3 linked regions of the Neodiprion lecontei genome follow. The main gene of each other region encodes a partner of the protein of the gene in region 3 in a complex. Links are inferred from orthologs where the notes say so. Each region holds a gene or a part of one and is shown on either strand. Other genes may lie near its edges.

What was found. The genes of interacting proteins can lie anywhere in the genome.
Region 1: E3 SUMO-protein ligase RanBP2 (region 3) and nuclear pore complex protein Nup98-Nup96 share a complex: the UniProt entries of both Drosophila melanogaster proteins name them as parts of the nuclear pore complex. The link is inferred for Neodiprion lecontei from reciprocal best matches to the Drosophila melanogaster genes Nup358 and Nup98-96.
Region 2: E3 SUMO-protein ligase RanBP2 (region 3) and nuclear pore complex protein Nup54 share a complex: the UniProt entries of both Drosophila melanogaster proteins name them as parts of the nuclear pore complex. The link is inferred for Neodiprion lecontei from reciprocal best matches to the Drosophila melanogaster genes Nup358 and Nup54.

Annotation. Positions count from the first base shown.
Region 1 is NC_060263.1:23,590,493-23,595,458, forward strand, and holds the start of nuclear pore complex protein Nup98-Nup96, read left to right. Parts: upstream 1-1,861; 5' UTR 1,862-2,056; intron 2,057-2,102; exon of another isoform or gene 2,103-2,253; intron 2,254-2,509; exon of another isoform or gene 2,510-2,607; intron 2,608-2,690; 5' UTR 2,691-2,731; coding exon 2,732-2,762; intron 2,763-3,543; coding exon 3,544-3,768; intron 3,769-3,989; coding exon 3,990-4,238; intron 4,239-4,315; coding exon 4,316-4,528; intron 4,529-4,966. UniProt on the Drosophila melanogaster protein: Part of the nuclear pore complex (NPC). Required for MAD import as part of the Nup107-160 complex and required for nuclear export of Moe probably via its association with Rae1. Plays a role in nuclear mRNA export.
Region 2 is NC_060262.1:32,774,607-32,782,352, reverse strand, and holds nuclear pore complex protein Nup54, read left to right. Parts: upstream 1-1,733; 5' UTR 1,734-1,943; coding exon 1,944-2,043; exon of another isoform or gene 2,044-2,369; coding exon of another isoform or gene 2,370-2,744; intron 2,745-3,276; coding exon of another isoform or gene 3,277-3,312; exon of another isoform or gene 3,313-3,433; intron 3,434-4,324; coding exon 4,325-4,783; intron 4,784-4,981; coding exon 4,982-5,889; intron 5,890-6,417; coding exon 6,418-6,645; intron 6,646-6,869; coding exon 6,870-6,992; 3' UTR 6,993-7,141; downstream 7,142-7,746. Other genes in the region: uncharacterized protein LOC107226633, read right to left, coding at 2,370-2,744, 3,277-3,312. UniProt on the Drosophila melanogaster protein: Component of the nuclear pore complex (NPC), a complex required for the trafficking across the nuclear envelope. Essential for the nuclear import of nuclear localization signal (NLS)-containing proteins in an importin alpha/importin beta-dependent manner.
Region 3 is NC_060263.1:26,801,342-26,806,317, forward strand, and holds the start of E3 SUMO-protein ligase RanBP2, read left to right. Parts: upstream 1-1,972; 5' UTR 1,973-2,116; coding exon 2,117-2,188; intron 2,189-3,479; coding exon 3,480-3,705; intron 3,706-3,865; coding exon 3,866-4,042; intron 4,043-4,384; coding exon 4,385-4,697; intron 4,698-4,932; coding exon 4,933-4,976. Other genes in the region: RNA pseudouridylate synthase domain-containing protein 1, read right to left, coding at 75-318, 411-521. UniProt on the Drosophila melanogaster protein: E3 SUMO-protein ligase. Component of the nuclear pore complex (NPC), a complex required for trafficking across the nuclear envelope.

The DNA of each region.
Region 1 (4,966 bases), about 3.2 Mb from region 3:
AAACTTAATCGAACTATGCAAACAGAGTATTTTTATGGCATATGTAATTCGTTTATTGCACTAGTTGATTCTCGTGTTCAGAAATCAAAACCTTACTTAATTTAACCCTTTAAGCCAGCGGTTTCTTATTCTAAAAGCACTGTTAGTATTTATTCTTCGCGTTTTGCCATTCACACCTCAATACATGAAATATTTCACAGGTTCAGTTATCTGATGTATTATTGAATCGACTTATAAATACACTTCTATCTAAATAATAATAGCAACCAAGTATAAAAAATTTGCAGAAATTAATTAGGTTTTTTGTAACAACAAACGTTCTCTAGATATGTATGGTATTGATATCGAATTTTTTTATCATTCTGGGCTGTTAATCATGTTCTCTTACGCTTTTGTGTCATAAGTGTGTTATTTCATGACGCGAAGACTCCAAGTTCACAAGTTTAATGCAAACATAAATTCATGGTCATTTTTTGAAAGTTACATTTTTGATTTGCATTATTTTTGTCAAGCAGCTAGAAGTTAGATTACTAACTTCAAACAATGCAGTACATATCTCATGATCATGTTTCCTAATTAATTACATTTTACTTCATTATTAGCAGAATTGAATGCGTTTTTTTGGTAAAGATGCCATGCTTACTGTATCTCCTCATTGAATATTCCTTATTGACAAGATACTTTAGTTTGTAAAGAAATACAAGGAAGAAAGAGTCGATAGTAACATGGTATAACGGTTTCTTCAATTGTTCTTAATGAACTGTATAGCCTGAATAATTACATATCAGGCAACGGTACTTTGACCAAACGAAATAAAATATCCCAAATCTGATTGTTGTCCCGCAAACTTCACGATTTACTATTTATCTGTCAGAGTTTTCGTTGAAGTGTTATGACATTACTCGAATGGGTATTGACACTAACATGTGTATCTTTAAAATAAGCACAACAATAACGAAATATGAGGATGCACTTATTGCCACCTAGTTTTTGACAAAGATTAAAAAAAAAAATTGGATCGTCAAAGGATATATCTAACAAGCCTTTAGAGCACATTGACAATATGTATACATTATTACATCGCTCTTTATTCATCCCTGTGAGAATGTTCTTCATTTAATAACGTTACAATTTAGTTAGTTATATCTTTGAGTATGGTAGACATAGTTTAACGTTTGCAGTAATGTAAGGGAAAAAAATTGATAATTTTACAGCGAAGGTTGAAGTAAGGAGACCATTTCAAATATCTCATTTTGAAGTGCTTATTTCAATTGTAATCATATTTTGAATAAAAAATGTTTAAAATAACATTCTATTGGCTTTTAATTGAACATGTACTCTTTACACATTCCACTCCCAAATATTATACCTGTAAATGTATGTGCATACGCTGAAAAACATCTCAAGTTATTGCTTGTTTAAAATTTTCGGTGCTAAATTAGACTGATTTTAATGGCAACCGATGGTGCTGAATTTGGATTGTTGCTGTACAATAAATCCAAGACAAAAAAATCCACAGCGGTCATAAGAAAAACAATGCTTTCGGAACGTAAACAACCCCTCTGCCCCAACCTACATGAATGACAAATATAGAGCGGGAATGTCTTTTAACTCTACCCTGAAGAGCCTACCACTCTAGAGCAAGCGAGAGCAATTTAGCCTTTGCTGGGGAACGATTGCAAATTGTCTACTTCGCCAATTGAGAGATAAAGAAACTGCACTGTTGCTTATACCTCTGCCGATGTCTCACGTAACGAAGTGGGGAAATTATAAATATAACTCACAAAATGACGTCGCATGGAGCCAATGATAGGACTCCGTATCGCCGTCTCGTAAACATATCGTTACAATGAGACTCCGCCTTAATAGACAGACACCCGCAACGCAGGCCACCGCAGATCCCGTAACAACACATGCCTGCAGTATTGGAAAATCGGTGATTAATGCGATTTTCTGTATTGTGGCGGTGTGCTTATTGCAAACCGTGTTCTATTAGTGAGTAGTTAAGTTTTGGTAATTATTGCGAGTAATTAGCAAGGTGCGATACGTCAGAGCAGTAAGTAAATGAAAATATTCGTCACATCTCTAATTGCGCCATTTCTGCATCTAACATAACCTGAATTGTTTGTATGCTATTGAATAAGATTCATCATTTTCAATATGTTATCCGTCTTTTCCATTAAATGACGAACACGTACGGCTTCCATGTGTTTTGTAAACAAGGATTGTTCGTAAATGTTGGCGGGGTCGGAGGTATGTAATAAGTGTGATGCAGCTATCTACTTGCGAATCACTCACAGGCATACAATCACTGCAAAATTCTTTTTCGTTGATATTTTTTCTCTATATACATATATAGGTATATATATCGTTGGCTCACGAGTGCTGATTGATGATATTTCACGTGTTGGCAATAATTTATAACCATCATATTTTATCAACATTTCTAATACGTATGTATCGTAATGAATTAATAGATCAGGAAATAAATAATCTCTTCTCTTACAAGTATTTTGAAGAATTACCAGGCATCTTTATTTATCACAAATATCAATGAGTGTCACTACTGCGGTAACAATCAGATGATCACGGTCATTTATATTAGTTGCAAGTATTCGGAATTATATTTACCTTTTACACTTATACATTTCTTTATTTGATGATTGATGCCATAATTTTGAACATTTTAGAAAGCTGCGGATAGTCCTTGTGCTAAATACGGTCATTAAAAATGTTTGGACAATCTGCTAATACTTCATTTGGTAAGTACCAATAAATTTTTTGTTCCTTATCTGCTTATTAATGCATTGGGTGCCTTTAACGAAATACTAAATTAATTTTATTTTAAACCCATCCATTATCCTGTTCTCGCTTGAACTGAGTCTGATCTAATCAGTTGTTGTTACTCTCCTTAAATATAAAGTGGTTACTTGAATAACTCCCTTTATTTAGTTGAAATTATGTGATACGCTCTGGAACTACAATAATGTAATTTGCATGAGTTTAATTTACGTCAGTAATTTCAAAGCAAAACGTTCTTTGAAACGTTATTACATGAAAATTGTCCTAATGAAACCGCAGTCAAACAACACAATCATATTTTCTTTACCACAATGTAAGAACTCATGTCATGCTTGATCCAATGCTCGGACAATATATCTATCACTTAATTATACCTGAACAGTTGAGTTAGGTGATAATAAAAATAAAATTTCAATTTTTTCAAATAATTACCACACGAAAGCCGTAGTAACCATTTTTTCATTAGAGCAAACTTACACTGAATCCCTTGCCGCCAGAGTCAGTCTGTGAAAGTAGTGGCCAACTACCAGCCCTGCACGTCCCAACATAAAGAACGTCTGTGCTGTATTAATTGTCACTTATTGATAAGAAATAGTTGTTTTAACAATCGAAATTTCATGCTTCAATTTTATTCTAAACATGGTATTCTGTTCATTGATGCCTGCATAAAACGTTATGCTATAATTTGATGTCTGTTAATGGTGAGCTGGTACCTTTGTACTTAAAAATTAATAAATATAGGAGGGTTTGGTGCAGGGACCCAGAGTAGCCCATTTAGTCAATCTCCATTTGGAAAACCCATCACAACAACGAGTTTTGGTGGTACAGCAGCACCAGTGTTCGGCAGTACCAACAATTCTCTGTTCGGCGCAAAGCCTGCGGGAGCGACGACAGGCGGACTATTTGGCAATACGGCAGCAACACCTGCTTTTGGACAACCAGCCACCAGTCAGTCATCATTTGGAGGTAATTTCTCAAAATGAATCGTCTATTATCAATTCTGTTTACTTTATATGATTAAGAACTCTGTATTGTTATAAACGTAGTTCTAGCGAAACTGTTTACAATATGATATCTGTCATATATTTCTGCTATGATAAAAAAAATAGACAAGAAGTTTCAAATTTACTTAATATTATATGATTACGTATTATAAATGAAAATTATCCAATCGTGCATAATTTCAGGATTCAGTAACCCAAATACGAACACCGGTCTCTTTGGTAATCAGCAAAATGCAAACACCAGTCTATTTGGAACAAGCAATCCTACCCCTGCTTTTGGTCAAGGAACTAAACCAGCAGGGTTTGGCTTTGGGAGTTCAGCTGGAACAGGATTATTTGGACAAACACAGCAACCTACTCAACAAACTGCACCGTCCCTTTTTGCACCATCCAATACAGCTGCAAATACCAGCTTATTTGGAGCTACAACTGGTAAATTAACCCGATGCTGATGAAAGTATTTCATTTAGGTATTCATCAAATCTTGTCAATCATATTTCATTGTACAGGATTTGCTGGAAATAATACTGCAGGTGGGATGAGTGGTACAGTGGTGAAATTTAACCCTCTTACTGGTACTGATACAATGATAAAAAATGGCGTTACCCAAACCATATCAACTCGACACTATTGCATTACTTGCATGAAGGAATACGAAGGAAAATCTCTGGAGGAATTGCGTTTAGAAGACTACACAGCAGGTCGTAAGGGACAAGTTCAAGGTAAGCTTTTCATCCTCGTATAAACTTTGGCAAACGGCAATGTTGACAACAACTTTTCAGTAACTCTTCAGTAACTTTAGGTGATATATGGCCGAAAATTTTTCGAAATACGGACTTGTACTTTATTTTTCAATTCTTCTGTGGCTAGACAGCCAAAAAACAAATTTCACACGCACATATATGAGATTGAGCAACAGAATCCAGCTGTATCTGAGCATATACTGAGAAAAAATACTGAAGATTCTGTAAAAGATTAGCTACACAGGCTTCGTACTTCCCATCAAAATTGGAGTTGAAGTAAAGATGAACATTCCTCTTTGAGAAATATAAATCCCAAAAAAAAATAGTAAATAGTAATAATACTAAGATTTTCGGAAACTAGAATATTGACATCTTTCAATACATTTCACGATTTATTTAGGATTTTGATTACAGTGA
Region 2 (7,746 bases), on a different chromosome or scaffold from region 3:
TTTATTGAGTGTTTCTACATGAAATTGAATTACATAAATGTTGGCTGTTACATAACAAACTCTGTGAAAATATTGTTTTACGATATCATTTTATTGTTGTAATGCAATCTGTACAATTTCGAGCAAACAACTGAGGTAATTACTTCATTTGCTGATGTACGCAAAAAATAACTGGAACGTTTATTTCGTTCGGTAACAATATAATTATAATAGAAGTATTCGGAAAGATTCTACAAGAATATTTCAACCCCACGGAACTAGACGAACAGATCGTTTTCTTATAAGACAATATGTGTCAATAAAGCGAGTATAATTCAATAATGCTGTGCTGTATCTTACGATTTTTTCTTAAACTTATATTTTTCTGCCAACATTAGGTTGCGCAAATTACACAATAAGCATTATGGTGCCGTTGATAGAATCATTGAAAATTTGTCACAGACACGAGTCCATTTATAGAAGGGAACGGAGATTAACCATATAAATAAAAGAAGAAGGAAACTACAGTGGAAGACAAACAAAGAGTGCAAGAAAATTTTTTCGGAAAACTGGATAATTACGTGACGTTCCAGCCATGGATGGAGAAAGATTAAATAAGGACGTTTTCTCCAGCAATCGCAATATTTCTTATAGCCTCCGCTATAAGGAGAGAGGTACTGTCTAATAACGATTGTGCATGTTATGTTTCGATTTATAAATCAAGCAAGACGTAATTTGTACAAATTGTTCTCACTTTTATTTTGAATATCCGTTTAAAATTTTAGGCTATTGTCTAAATCATGCCGGAGTTATTATACTTTTAATTTTTCGTGATCTTACACTGATTCTTATGGAAAACAGTTAGGCATTTAAAATAAAAGTGAGAACAATTTGTATAATTTTCATTGACCTAGCACTATTTTGATTCACACGCCTATACATCCTTAAATAATTTAATTGGATCTTTTAATCGTTTTATTTAATCGGACATACTTTAGTAAATTCCACAGGTCCTGGTGACACAAGTCCAACAGTCGAGTTATGAGCTTGATGGGTCAGTATTATTTTATTAGCATATAATGGCAAACAAAGAAAGTAAATGTACAAATATCCTTGTCTACTTTCAAGAACCTGAAATTAAATTTCATGTATAGGACACTACGCAAATACAGTAGAAATTTTTTTCCATTAGAATTAAATTAAGTGGTTATTCTTCTCTAATTATGGAAAATATTGTAAAACCTCCCTGCTGTAAAATCATGCTATTGAAATGAGAGTAACTCTTCAATTCATAATTCAAATCATTAGAGCCAACGATAGGAAGATGCTTCAAAAAAATATAATTCTTACTATTACGTGAGATAAATTCGTCATATATTTAGTAACTAGTCGAGAAAAACGCAAATTTAAAAAAGCACAAAAGTCATGATTTATTAACAAAGTGTCTAATAATTGTAGTACAAGGTGCGTGCGTTGACTGAAGACTATAAGTCTTCAGACAACGGTGCGTGTAAATACTTGGTTATACATAAATAAACATATACAAGAGTGGTATCAATCTGTAAAAGCGGAGTTTGATAGTTCAATCTTATCCAAATTTCAAATATCTGTACATGATATAGGTATAGTACCGTGATTACTATCATTCAAATAAATTGCGCGCAAGTGACGTCACTGACGAGTAAGCAGTTCGATTGCTCGGGGATATTCATTATAACAAAACGACGCCGTAGACCTGACGAACGATTACAGAGCGCAAGCGTGCTTTGCGAGCCAATCATATCACAGAGTTGATCGAACGGCCAATTAACAGCTGGGAGTTTATTTCTGGTCGAATAATACATAGAATATCACTTTCGTGTGTGCGTGTTGTATGATAGAACTTCCGACTGTGTATTAGCCAGTGTTATTTGGGGTTATGTTTCTTAATTTGTACTAATTCTTTAAATAAACAAATTATCAAAATGTCCTTTGGTACTGGATTTGGGACTTCTACCCCCTCAGCAACACCAAATTTTGGATTTGGGGCGCAAGCTTCAGGCACAGCCACAGCAGCGAAACCGAGTAAGTATGAACTAGAACTTGGTGTATTTTCAAACAATAACCTAAATGACTACAAATTCATAACAATAAATTTTACTTATTAGTTCTAAATTCGCTGATGTGATCGGCACGAAAAAAGTATCTACGTTCTTACGAATTGCACTACGATGTGTTTAAGGCAGTAGAGAGCGATCGAATTGTCTGGGTAGTTTAAGCTTTACCAAAGATTGACCACGACACTCCGCTCTTTCTAGTTAATATGACATTTTTTATTCCAAATCCTAGCTCAGTCATAATCTCCAACCTATAAAATCATCCTCAGAGTATGAAACATCTATTGCGTTAGGTTACTTCTTGAGCAATTGATCCGACGACCGAGAATTCATATGTTTCACTGATGCTTCTGAATTCTTTGTTGATTGTCCGAGATCCATATCTTCTCCTGGGCACTCTTCGTCGCACGTCTCTTGATTTCTACCTTGCACTGTGCAAAAACCTTTCCTCCTAAGTCTGGCAAGTATGCAGGCAAGAACGCAGCATACTAGCACTAGAATTCCTAAGAGCAATCCCAAAACTATCAATATCGTTTGACTCGATTCGTCTGAAGATCCATTTTGACCAGATGCAATGGATTGCATGGTGGTGGTAGTCTGAGTAGTAACAATCGGCGTGGTGCTTTCAGATAGTTCATGCAGTATAGTGGACATATCGCCTATAGTATCCTGGAAATAAAATAATAAAGTACCAAATATTGTAATATTGAGTCTGAGAACAAAGCAAAAAATCTTCATCACATCAGTATTGCACACAAGTTATTATGTATATATATGTGTGTTTCATCAACTTTGGTTAGTTACAATGAGCAAGGAGTGCGGAATTTCTGACAATGACGGTAATCGAATATGTATAAAGGGAACTTTAAATTACTCCAAATGATTCCCCTGTGGTTCCCAGTTCATTTTCAAACTCCGTAACTTCGTCAACAGGACTAGTACTCACTTGGCGTGGATAGGGATGGGTGTGTTCATCGTATGAGTTATGATTTAGTTGCTTTGGATTAGAATTGGAAGCATGGTAAAGTATTTCCATTATTCTTATTGCGTTGCAATGGGTGAATGAGAAACTGAGGTAATTTTATGTTAATTGTATTGTAAAGTCAACAAACACATTGTTAATCTACATGGTATCCAAATTTTGAATCAGCTTAGTTGATTATAAAGCATGATAATAGTAGTACAATATTGATATACGTACCAGCCGTTGGTGTTTTACGTTTTTGGAAAAGCTCATCTTGATTTGCGAAAAATAAATAGTCACACTACGTTTACCTTCACTGACAGCTTTATAGTCATTAAACCCTGTTGATGCTTGAGCAGCCGAGAATCCCTCAAAGCTGGAACAAGGAAAGTATCAGCTTCCGACAACTTGTTGAAGTCACATTTAACCGGATGTTCGTGGTCGGTTTTTCCCACCACAGAGATACGTAGAAATGATGAAAGAAACATTATATCGTAGGCAAATCTTCGTCTTTTGTGCTACTTTATATTTTTCGCGATACATAATTTTAATAGATAGGAAACCAGTCTTACCAAATATTGTGTAAGAATTATACTTCATCAATCTAGTCAGAATTACAATTCGATAAATAGAACTTCAGAAGAAAATTAATTTCATGTTTCTTGACATCAAAAACTTGGTCACGTTTTGACATTTCCCCTAGAAATCTGTCTACATATTGAAATTGTTAGACACACCTGGTTGTCTTTTGTCGAGCGCTGATTTTTATTACCACGTCATCCATGATTTCTGGGGAAAACATCTGACGGCTTGGTACAATTGCCTTTATAGCGAACATTTGATCTTTGAACTCTGATGTAAATCGGAAATTTTCATAATACACTGGAATAAAAGTTCAAGGATGCGGTTGACACTTCAGAATATTACATTGCCTCAGATGAGTTGCTTTTTGCATATACATGAGACCCGGTCTATTCAATTTCCGAATAGTGAACATAATTTTATTATCTGCAACTAGGGCACAATGCTAAAATTCTTACATGACAAGTTTGAAAGATTTAAGAAATGGGGTATTTATTCACTATGAATTTAATTTCTGTACCAAGTCCATTAAATAATACAATACGCTCACACCCGCCAACACATCAAACTATTGAATAATGTGTAAAAAGAGACAGCAGAATTATCACACTTGTAATTTAGAAATATAGTCAAGTAATAATTTGTTTTTTAATTGAAAAAAGTTTGCTTCGAAGAGTAATTCATTTTATTTATATTATCTTAGCTGGTTTTGGTACACCATCGTTTGGATTCGGCACTCCGGCTACATCAGCACCAGCTCTTGGAGGATTTGGTACCCCTGCAACACAGGCACCTGCCTTTGGAACTAGCGGTGGCTTTGGTACATCAACAGTCGGAGGATTTGGAACACCAGCCACGAGTACGATAACATTTGGCACTCCAGGTTCATCTTTCGGGTTTGGGACAGGTGCAGGATTTGGTGGTACGCCAGCAACTTCATCTACGGCATTCAGTGGATTTGGGACAACTGCGACTACAAGTTCAACAGGTTTCGGTGGATTTGGTTCGTTCCCAACCATGGCGACATCTTCAGCACCGAGCTTATTTGGTGGCTTTAGCACATCAGGCACAACAACAACAGGATTCGGCACAACAGGATTTGGTGGATTTGGTGCTAAGCCAGCTGCAATAAATACAACAGGCTTCAGCAGCTTTGGAACAGGTTAACTGAAATCCGAATTTGGAAAAAATATTAGAAATAATATATTTTCCAAGCACCCTGGAACTCTTGTACTAATCCAATCTTAATGCATTCAAACGCTAGAGGAGAAAGGACAGATAATTATATTTTAATTGCCCGTACTTGAAATATCTTCACCACTATGAGAGACATGATTTTACCTAAGACGTTATTTTTCAGGTTCTGGTCTTACTGGGTTAGGAACAACTCTTACCCAACCGCAACAACAGCAGCAACAGCAACAACCGCAGCAACAATCTGTGAATGCGATATCGGAAGCACTTTATAATGCAGTATTTAACTGCCAACTTTTTAATGACGAACGTGATAATACCATAGCAAGATGGAACTTGATCCAAGCATTATGGGGTACTGGAAAAGCTTACTACTCGTCGGTGGCACCTCCTATAGATTTGACACAAGAAAATCCTTTGTGTAGATTCAAAGCTATTGGTTATAGCTGTATGCCAGATGCAGATAACAATGATGGACTGGTCGTTATTTGTTTCAACAAAAAGGAACAGGAATTAAAAGATGGAAAACAGACGTTGATTACATCACTCAACACCATTCTCGGAAATAAACCAAATTTAACATTAACTGTTGATACTATAAAATCGACAGATGACAATAAAAGTCACGTGACAATCTGCGTATCTGAAAAAGGTGTGACAGGATTGTCTAGGAAAATTCCGGCAAACGAGTTAGTTAGTTTCTTTACACAGACTATGCAAAAACAACAGCTGGCCCAAATGGGCGTGGAAAACATTTTTCCACAGGTTAAATTAGACCCTAGTCAACTGAAGGAATATTTGGATAACCCACCGTCGTCTATTGATCCCAGATTATGGAAGCAAGCGCAATTAGATAATCCAAACCCAGAGAAATATATTCCAGTGCCAATGATTGGGTTCAATCAAGTTAAATATAGATTGAAATGCCAAGAAGAAGAAACAGCCAAGCATAGAGCATTTCTAGACTTGGCTGCAGAAAGAATTCAAAGTTTACAGAGACAACACACTGCAACTCAAGCAAGATTGAAAGAACATCGACGAAATTTACTCGAGCTGCAACACCGAGTTTTACAGGTGAAGAGGATCTTGATAATTTTATTTCATTCTACTTCTACGCACTGGGTGGGCCAAAAAAACCGGACCGAGTTAAAACGTGAATAAATTTCGAACGCATCGACCAATTTTCGAAACTCTTTTTACTCGAAATTAAAAACATAAACCTTTCGTTTTGTGTTCGGAAATCTAGAAAATCTTCATCCTTGCTGAGATACACGATTTTGAAAAACAGATTTTGCAAAATTCGCTGGGAGGATAAAAAAAAATTATTATTAAAGAATGTTTAGCCTAATTTTCATCTTAAATTGTGATTTGAAGTTCAAATTTTCAAACGCGAAACAAATTGTTTATTGTCCTAATTTCAAGCAAAAAAGAAAATTTTCATAATAAAGTCAATGCATTCGGATTTTATTCACGTCTAAATTTGGTGCGATTTTTTTTTACTTACCCCGTATACTGGGCCATTTCATTTGGATTCGTCAAATTTTTTTTACCATCATACTGCTTTACTTAATGTAATAATACGTTTCATAAATGAATTTCTAGGTGCTGGTTCGTCAAGAAATAACGCGCAAGGTTGGGTTAGCATTACAACCTGAAGAAGAAGTGCTAACAAATAGGTTTGAAGCAATGCATTCGCAAATAAGTGCTCCGACACAGTTTAAGGGAAGAATCAGTGAAATGCTTTCACAACTGAGAATGAGACGGCATATGGACTCTCAAAACCACGAACGATATACTATGGATCCTATTGCCCAAGACGATATTAAAACCGTGAGTATATTTCATATCTTTAGTACAAAACTTAGTTTACTCTTCCTAATTATGAAGTTATCACAATTGCAAGACCAGAGTCAATTTTGTGGTCAACATTTAAAACTAATTTTTTGTTTTTAACAAAACTGATCAGTATCAGCTTAGGATGTACGAGACAAGTGTATCCTTACATTGCTTTACATTCGCTAATATCAATTAATATGTATTGTCCTTCGTTGCAGTATTTAACTATGGAACAGCAAGGAATGTCTCAACTCATTTCTACAATCAACGCTGATCTGGAGTGCCTGAAAATAATTAAGGATGGCATGTCCGATCTCCTCACGAGTCACAGCATCTCTTGAAATACAGCGTATCGTTAATTATCGTCAAGTCTTTTGAAAAAAAATGCACCGGTCATGCAATTTCCAAGTTGAGATGGTGGAAACGAGGGGAAGTGGCTTTCTATCTATTACGGACAATTATGTAATAAACTTCTTTGAAACTGCTGTAATTTACCGTACTTGATTCGTAATAATGCCGGACATCCGTCAGCAGTGAATTTCCCTCCCTGTTTTGAAAGTGAATTCATTGCTTAAGCAAAGACTCGCCACATTTATTGAACCGTCGCATACATAACCACATCCAATTCATAAATGGATATTTTCCACGCCTTATAAATGTATCGGATGTGTGTTGATGATGAATAATTGAATCAGCGTAAATCCCTTGTACGATGTGTGTAAAAGTTGGTATATCAACTATCATTTTGATATATCACACTGTAGTGGGTACGTGACTGACAAAACCGTCCCGCTTTATAAAAATTTTTCTTGCAATGATGAAGTATCATGTTCATATTCAGACTACTTTGATGTCGTAAATCAAAATGTTACTCATCAAAATTTAAAAGACATTTATCAAAGTCTGCCACATTTATATGAATATACGTGTGTGTACAGCTATGATGAAGCGACTATTTACAGCTATTTGAAATAGCAGAATTTACAATACATTTCAGAAACTGTTGAAGCGATTCTATTGAAACTCTAATCATTTCGAAATGAGGAAAACCGCCACGGTGAATTGTAATGTTACATAATATGCACGCACACAGAC
Region 3 (4,976 bases):
TTGCATTTTTTTTTTTTTTATTTTGTTTAACAGCAGTTTCAAACAGTTTGCAGGTAATTATTGAGGAAGCTAACCAATTGTTTCCGAAATGATAACATGACTTTTGTTTATATGTCCATGGACTAGAGCTAAATAGTATTTCTTTGCTTTTCTACTTTCAAAGGCAGTGGTGGCTGCTTTGGCAGCCTGCTTATTGAGAGCCAAGCAAATAACTCCGCTTGTAGCATAATCAAGTCGATGAACGAAATGAAATTCGTGCCGTAGCTCTGGATTGACCAGTTCAGGGAACATCATTTGTATTTCCGTTTGTAAGGTGGACTAAAAATTGTACAAATCTGTGAATAGACCGTAACCACGTTATATTTATTATCTGAATGTTATCCATTATATTTAATAATTAAATGAATTACTTTATAATTCCGGTTATTGCTGTTTATAACCAAATCATATGGCTTATTTACTACTAAGAAATTATTACTGCGATATAAAACGTCTAAGGTATTATTTTCGTTCCCTTCCATTCTACCTATATGAATGTACAAGTTTCTCAAAAATTTCCGTTACCACACTACAAGTTAAGGCTTCGTATTTTTAATTTTAAAGCGCTGTTTTAACAATTCTTTGCTTTGGTTATAACCACAAGTTTCTCTAACCGTCCTAGCCTCAACTGGAAACTGTCACAAACGAAAGATTGGGTCAATTTTGTGCAACTGAAATTTTAACCGATTAAATAATCGTTGGTCAAGTTTATTGCAGAAAACACAGAACATAAAAATACATTCGTTTCAAATATAGAATGATCCGTTTGATCAGAACATTTATAAAATCGACACTCGATTCAGTTTGTAGAATAAGCTGCCGTTACTAACCAGAAACGGTTGCCTCCTAGGTATGAATGCTCTATGCCTGGGTCTGGCGGAGCACAATAATAAATTAAAAACTATAGATCTAAATCTAATAACACAATAGATTTTGCTTCATTTACTTTTATTACATTTATTGTCGTACATGTAGTAGATCTAGAAACCTAAGTGACGGTACGGAACGTATATCACGAGGGTCACGATTAGAAATTATCTTCATTGTAATATGTCAGACGACTTCAGTCATAATAAATACACTACGTATGAAAAATTTCAAGGTTTAAATGATCTCTCAAATGAAAAATAGATTTGCAAATGCCAGTTGAACACTTTTGGCCTTCAGTTTAGGCTTATGTTCAGACCAACACGTTAAAAATACTTCCATCATGCGTGAAAATTTGGGGTTAGTAAGTTGTGCAAAAAAAAAATAAAAAAATTATCGAATAAGAAATTGAATGCACATTACGTGACTTTATGCCGACTGGATACCTTCGCCACACCACGCTTTACGCAGTCGTACAAAGAATCGCGTGTGCATGTGTCGTAAGGCAATTTGAGGGATTTTTTTTATCCGGAACCGGCAGGAATCGGTCACTGAGCACTCGACAAAGTATGCGGGAATTGCGCACAAATTTGAGCAGGATAACCACCACTGATCTCTATATGACACTATAGAGATCAGTGATAGCCACCGTTCGAGCATAGTGAACAAGGCGTTCGAGTAAATTCGAGCGTGGTCGAGCAGCTAAACTGCAACCTTTGAAGCAGAGGACCCAATAATCTCTGGACGACCACACAGCGACGTAAACAAACGACGGTAGTGCGGCGTTGCCACGTCTTGCGTGACTTTAAAACCAGAATGAAATCAATATTTAATACTTATTTTTAATAATCGAAACAACCAAAAAAATTAGTGCAAAATGTAATTCTAAATTGATTGTACATCTTATCATTATTTGTGATCTATATAAGGATGGTTTTGAATATGTTTTTTATGCCTGTTTCTCGCTTGACCTACTCTACGCCGTTGTCTATGCTATAGCCGACGGAAACCTGGTTACTGTGTTTCCTGTGCTGTAAGCACGGACTCGGCTGTAAGCTTGATTTTAGAGTTGGTTGGTACAACTGTCGTAAAGAAGTTCGTTTGAATAGTGATGTCCACGGTGAGGCGGCGGTGGTTCGTCTTAACGATATTTTTCATCCTTTAACTGTGCGGCAAGAACAGCAAAAGGAATTCGAAATATTGTGGAATCATGTTCCACGATAAGAAGAGCGTTGATCGCCACGTGCAAGATATTTTACGAAAGCTGAAGACGGAAAATGAGGTAGGAGGTTATTCTCGTATGAAAACGTTACGCGGTGTATGATGAGTACCACCGAGTCACCGTACATGCACATGCAAATGTCGATCGTCCCGCCAGAAGTGATCCCTGCATTTCGATCTAATTCCTGTATCAATTCTACCGAACCACATCATCTTCTCATGCCAGCTTATGATCTAGCTATTTTCAATTTATTTTTAGTCATCGACTTGCACAATGTCGCATATTTATATATTATTATTCATTCCAAGGCCTTAAGTACTGGCTCGGAAGCTCTGTAGATATAACACGCACTCACACTTATCTACACATAACCTGTTATCCACACATAATATGATTTGCATCTCTCATGCCATTCCAGAACCGGGCTAACCAATGTTTTGCGGTTTCCTGATTATTCTTGGACAATCCATCGCACGCTGGATTGTTATTACTTCATTATCTCTTTGTTCATCATTGACTTTTTTATCCAATAAGAGACAATTGCCAATGTACTCTTCAAAAAGCTTCTACCTTCAAATATATATAATACATGTATCTTAAATTACCTTATCGTTCGGAGTCTAAGCCCACCCCGCATATAAGACGACCCCCAATTCCGAGACAGTATTTCAGGGTGTTTGCCTTGCTTACCCGCATATGAGACGAGTCCGCGTAGAAGACGAATGATTTCGGTTGGGGCTGTCAACGACAAAAAAACCTTGGTCTATATTTCCCTTGGATAAAATTAAAAAAAAAAACAGTTTGGGTGTAAATTCATACCCGTAACTAATAAATAATATTAAATTGCCATAAGAAAAAAGTTAACGGTGCAAATTTACACTCAAGTGGAAGGTTTTTTCCTAGAGGGTTGTAAAGACATCATATTTTCTGCTGGCCTTCTTAACCTTTTACTCAACTTGAGGTATTAGTAGTGTTAACTTGTATATAAAATTTAAAAATGAAGAGCTTTATTAAAATGAATTATCATACTTATGGCTATCTAAAACCACAACACAGTCTTTAAACCTAGGAATTAAGTTGTTTGAAATGGCTGCTAAGGTGGTTAGGATACAATTTTTGATCAGGAAAATTCTTTTACACTTTTTAAGCTTATAATTCCAGATAATTTATCGTCGTTTTTATTTAACTCAAACATATCTTTAAAGTCGTATTTTTTACTTTATTTAAAATAAAAGTTAGAGCATCATTATAAAAACTTGCTGACCACCCCTAGGTTTCCTTCACCCAACTCTTACGAGTTTAGGTTTTAGAGTTCATTATCTCCAAGGTAAAAATTTAATATAAATTACAGAGGAACCTGAGATGTTACAATATTGCTAAACTTTATTACCAAGTTGGTGATTACGAATCCGCAAGGAGATACGTGTCATGTTACCTAGAAGTGCGAGAAGATTCAGCTAACGCACATAAACTACTAGGTCAAACCCTCGAGGCTCTTGGTCAGAAAGAAGCTGCGTTAGCAAAATACAAGTGCTCCCTTGAAATTGATGGCAAACAAGACGATCTAGTCTTGAAAGGTGGGTTAATCTGTTTCACTCACCAAAAAAGAATAGCTGTAGTTTTAGGACTAGAAATTTTTCTGCTCGAAATTAATTTAACTATAGGTTTATTGCTATAAATAATATTTCTGACATCATTTGTATTTAGCTTAATGTACATGTTCGTTTTATGAAACAGTTTGTGAGATTCTGGCAGACACAGACGTAGGGATGGATGTCAGCAGAGCCAGATATTGGTTGGAAAGAGCAGACAAACAGTTCCCGCATCATCCTGTCGTATTTCAGCTGAAAGAAAAACTACTAACTGTAGATAGACCAAATGATAATGCCGAAGATCTTGAAGCACTTATAGCATGTAAGTTTATTGTATAAATTGTAATTATGTGAATCCTACTACTAAGATTCCATTTAATTCATTTTTCTTTGCTGTAGGAATGTCTTAAAATTTCGAAAATTGCGTACTTCTTACTAAGTCTGTCCTATAAATTTTCACACAAACTAGTTGTATGTGCTATTACAAGTATTTGAAATTAAGGTTTTTGCATTGAATCATTTTTTTACAATGAATCAAGTCACTAGTATAGTTTTAATTGAAATGTCTGCAATGGAAAGTTATTATGATTCACAATAACAATTCCAGTTCACTGCTTAAAAGCCTGTTTTTCGCAATTCTCAACATTGTGAATTATTTTTCCAGCTGAATTGTCAGCCAGACCAAAAGATGTAACATTGCGTGTCAAATTATTGCACCATTACATGGTGAAAAATAGACTCGAGGATGGATACAAACATGCCATGGGTGTGGAATCAACCTTTACCTTTAGGGATAATATCTCATGGTATCAAACAATTTGTGAATTGTTTGGAAAGTGCAAAGACAGCAAGTCTTCTGATTGGACTTTCTGGATGCTATACATTTCAGCTCTTGAAAGATTTGCCGCTCTGTCTCTTAAAGAGCAGGGTGATGGACCAAAAAAATCTATCCCCGAAGTTGCACAGGCAATATTGAAGTGAGTAAAGTGAGAAAGTGGTAACTAAAGAATTAGCAAATAGTAATTAAAAGACCTTACTATGTAATTAAACTCTTTAGTATCTTAATATTAGTTATAAAGTACACAAAATCGAGAACTTCAAGTGCGTCTGAAATTTTTAGGTTTTATCAGCAGTTCAATGCATTCAAGTATTCAGAAGTTATCCATTTTCAGTTTACACACATCTATAAGATACTTTTGTGTATAATTTTAGTTTCGACCAAAACCTGACAGAAGCAGAGCATCATAAGAAACTTT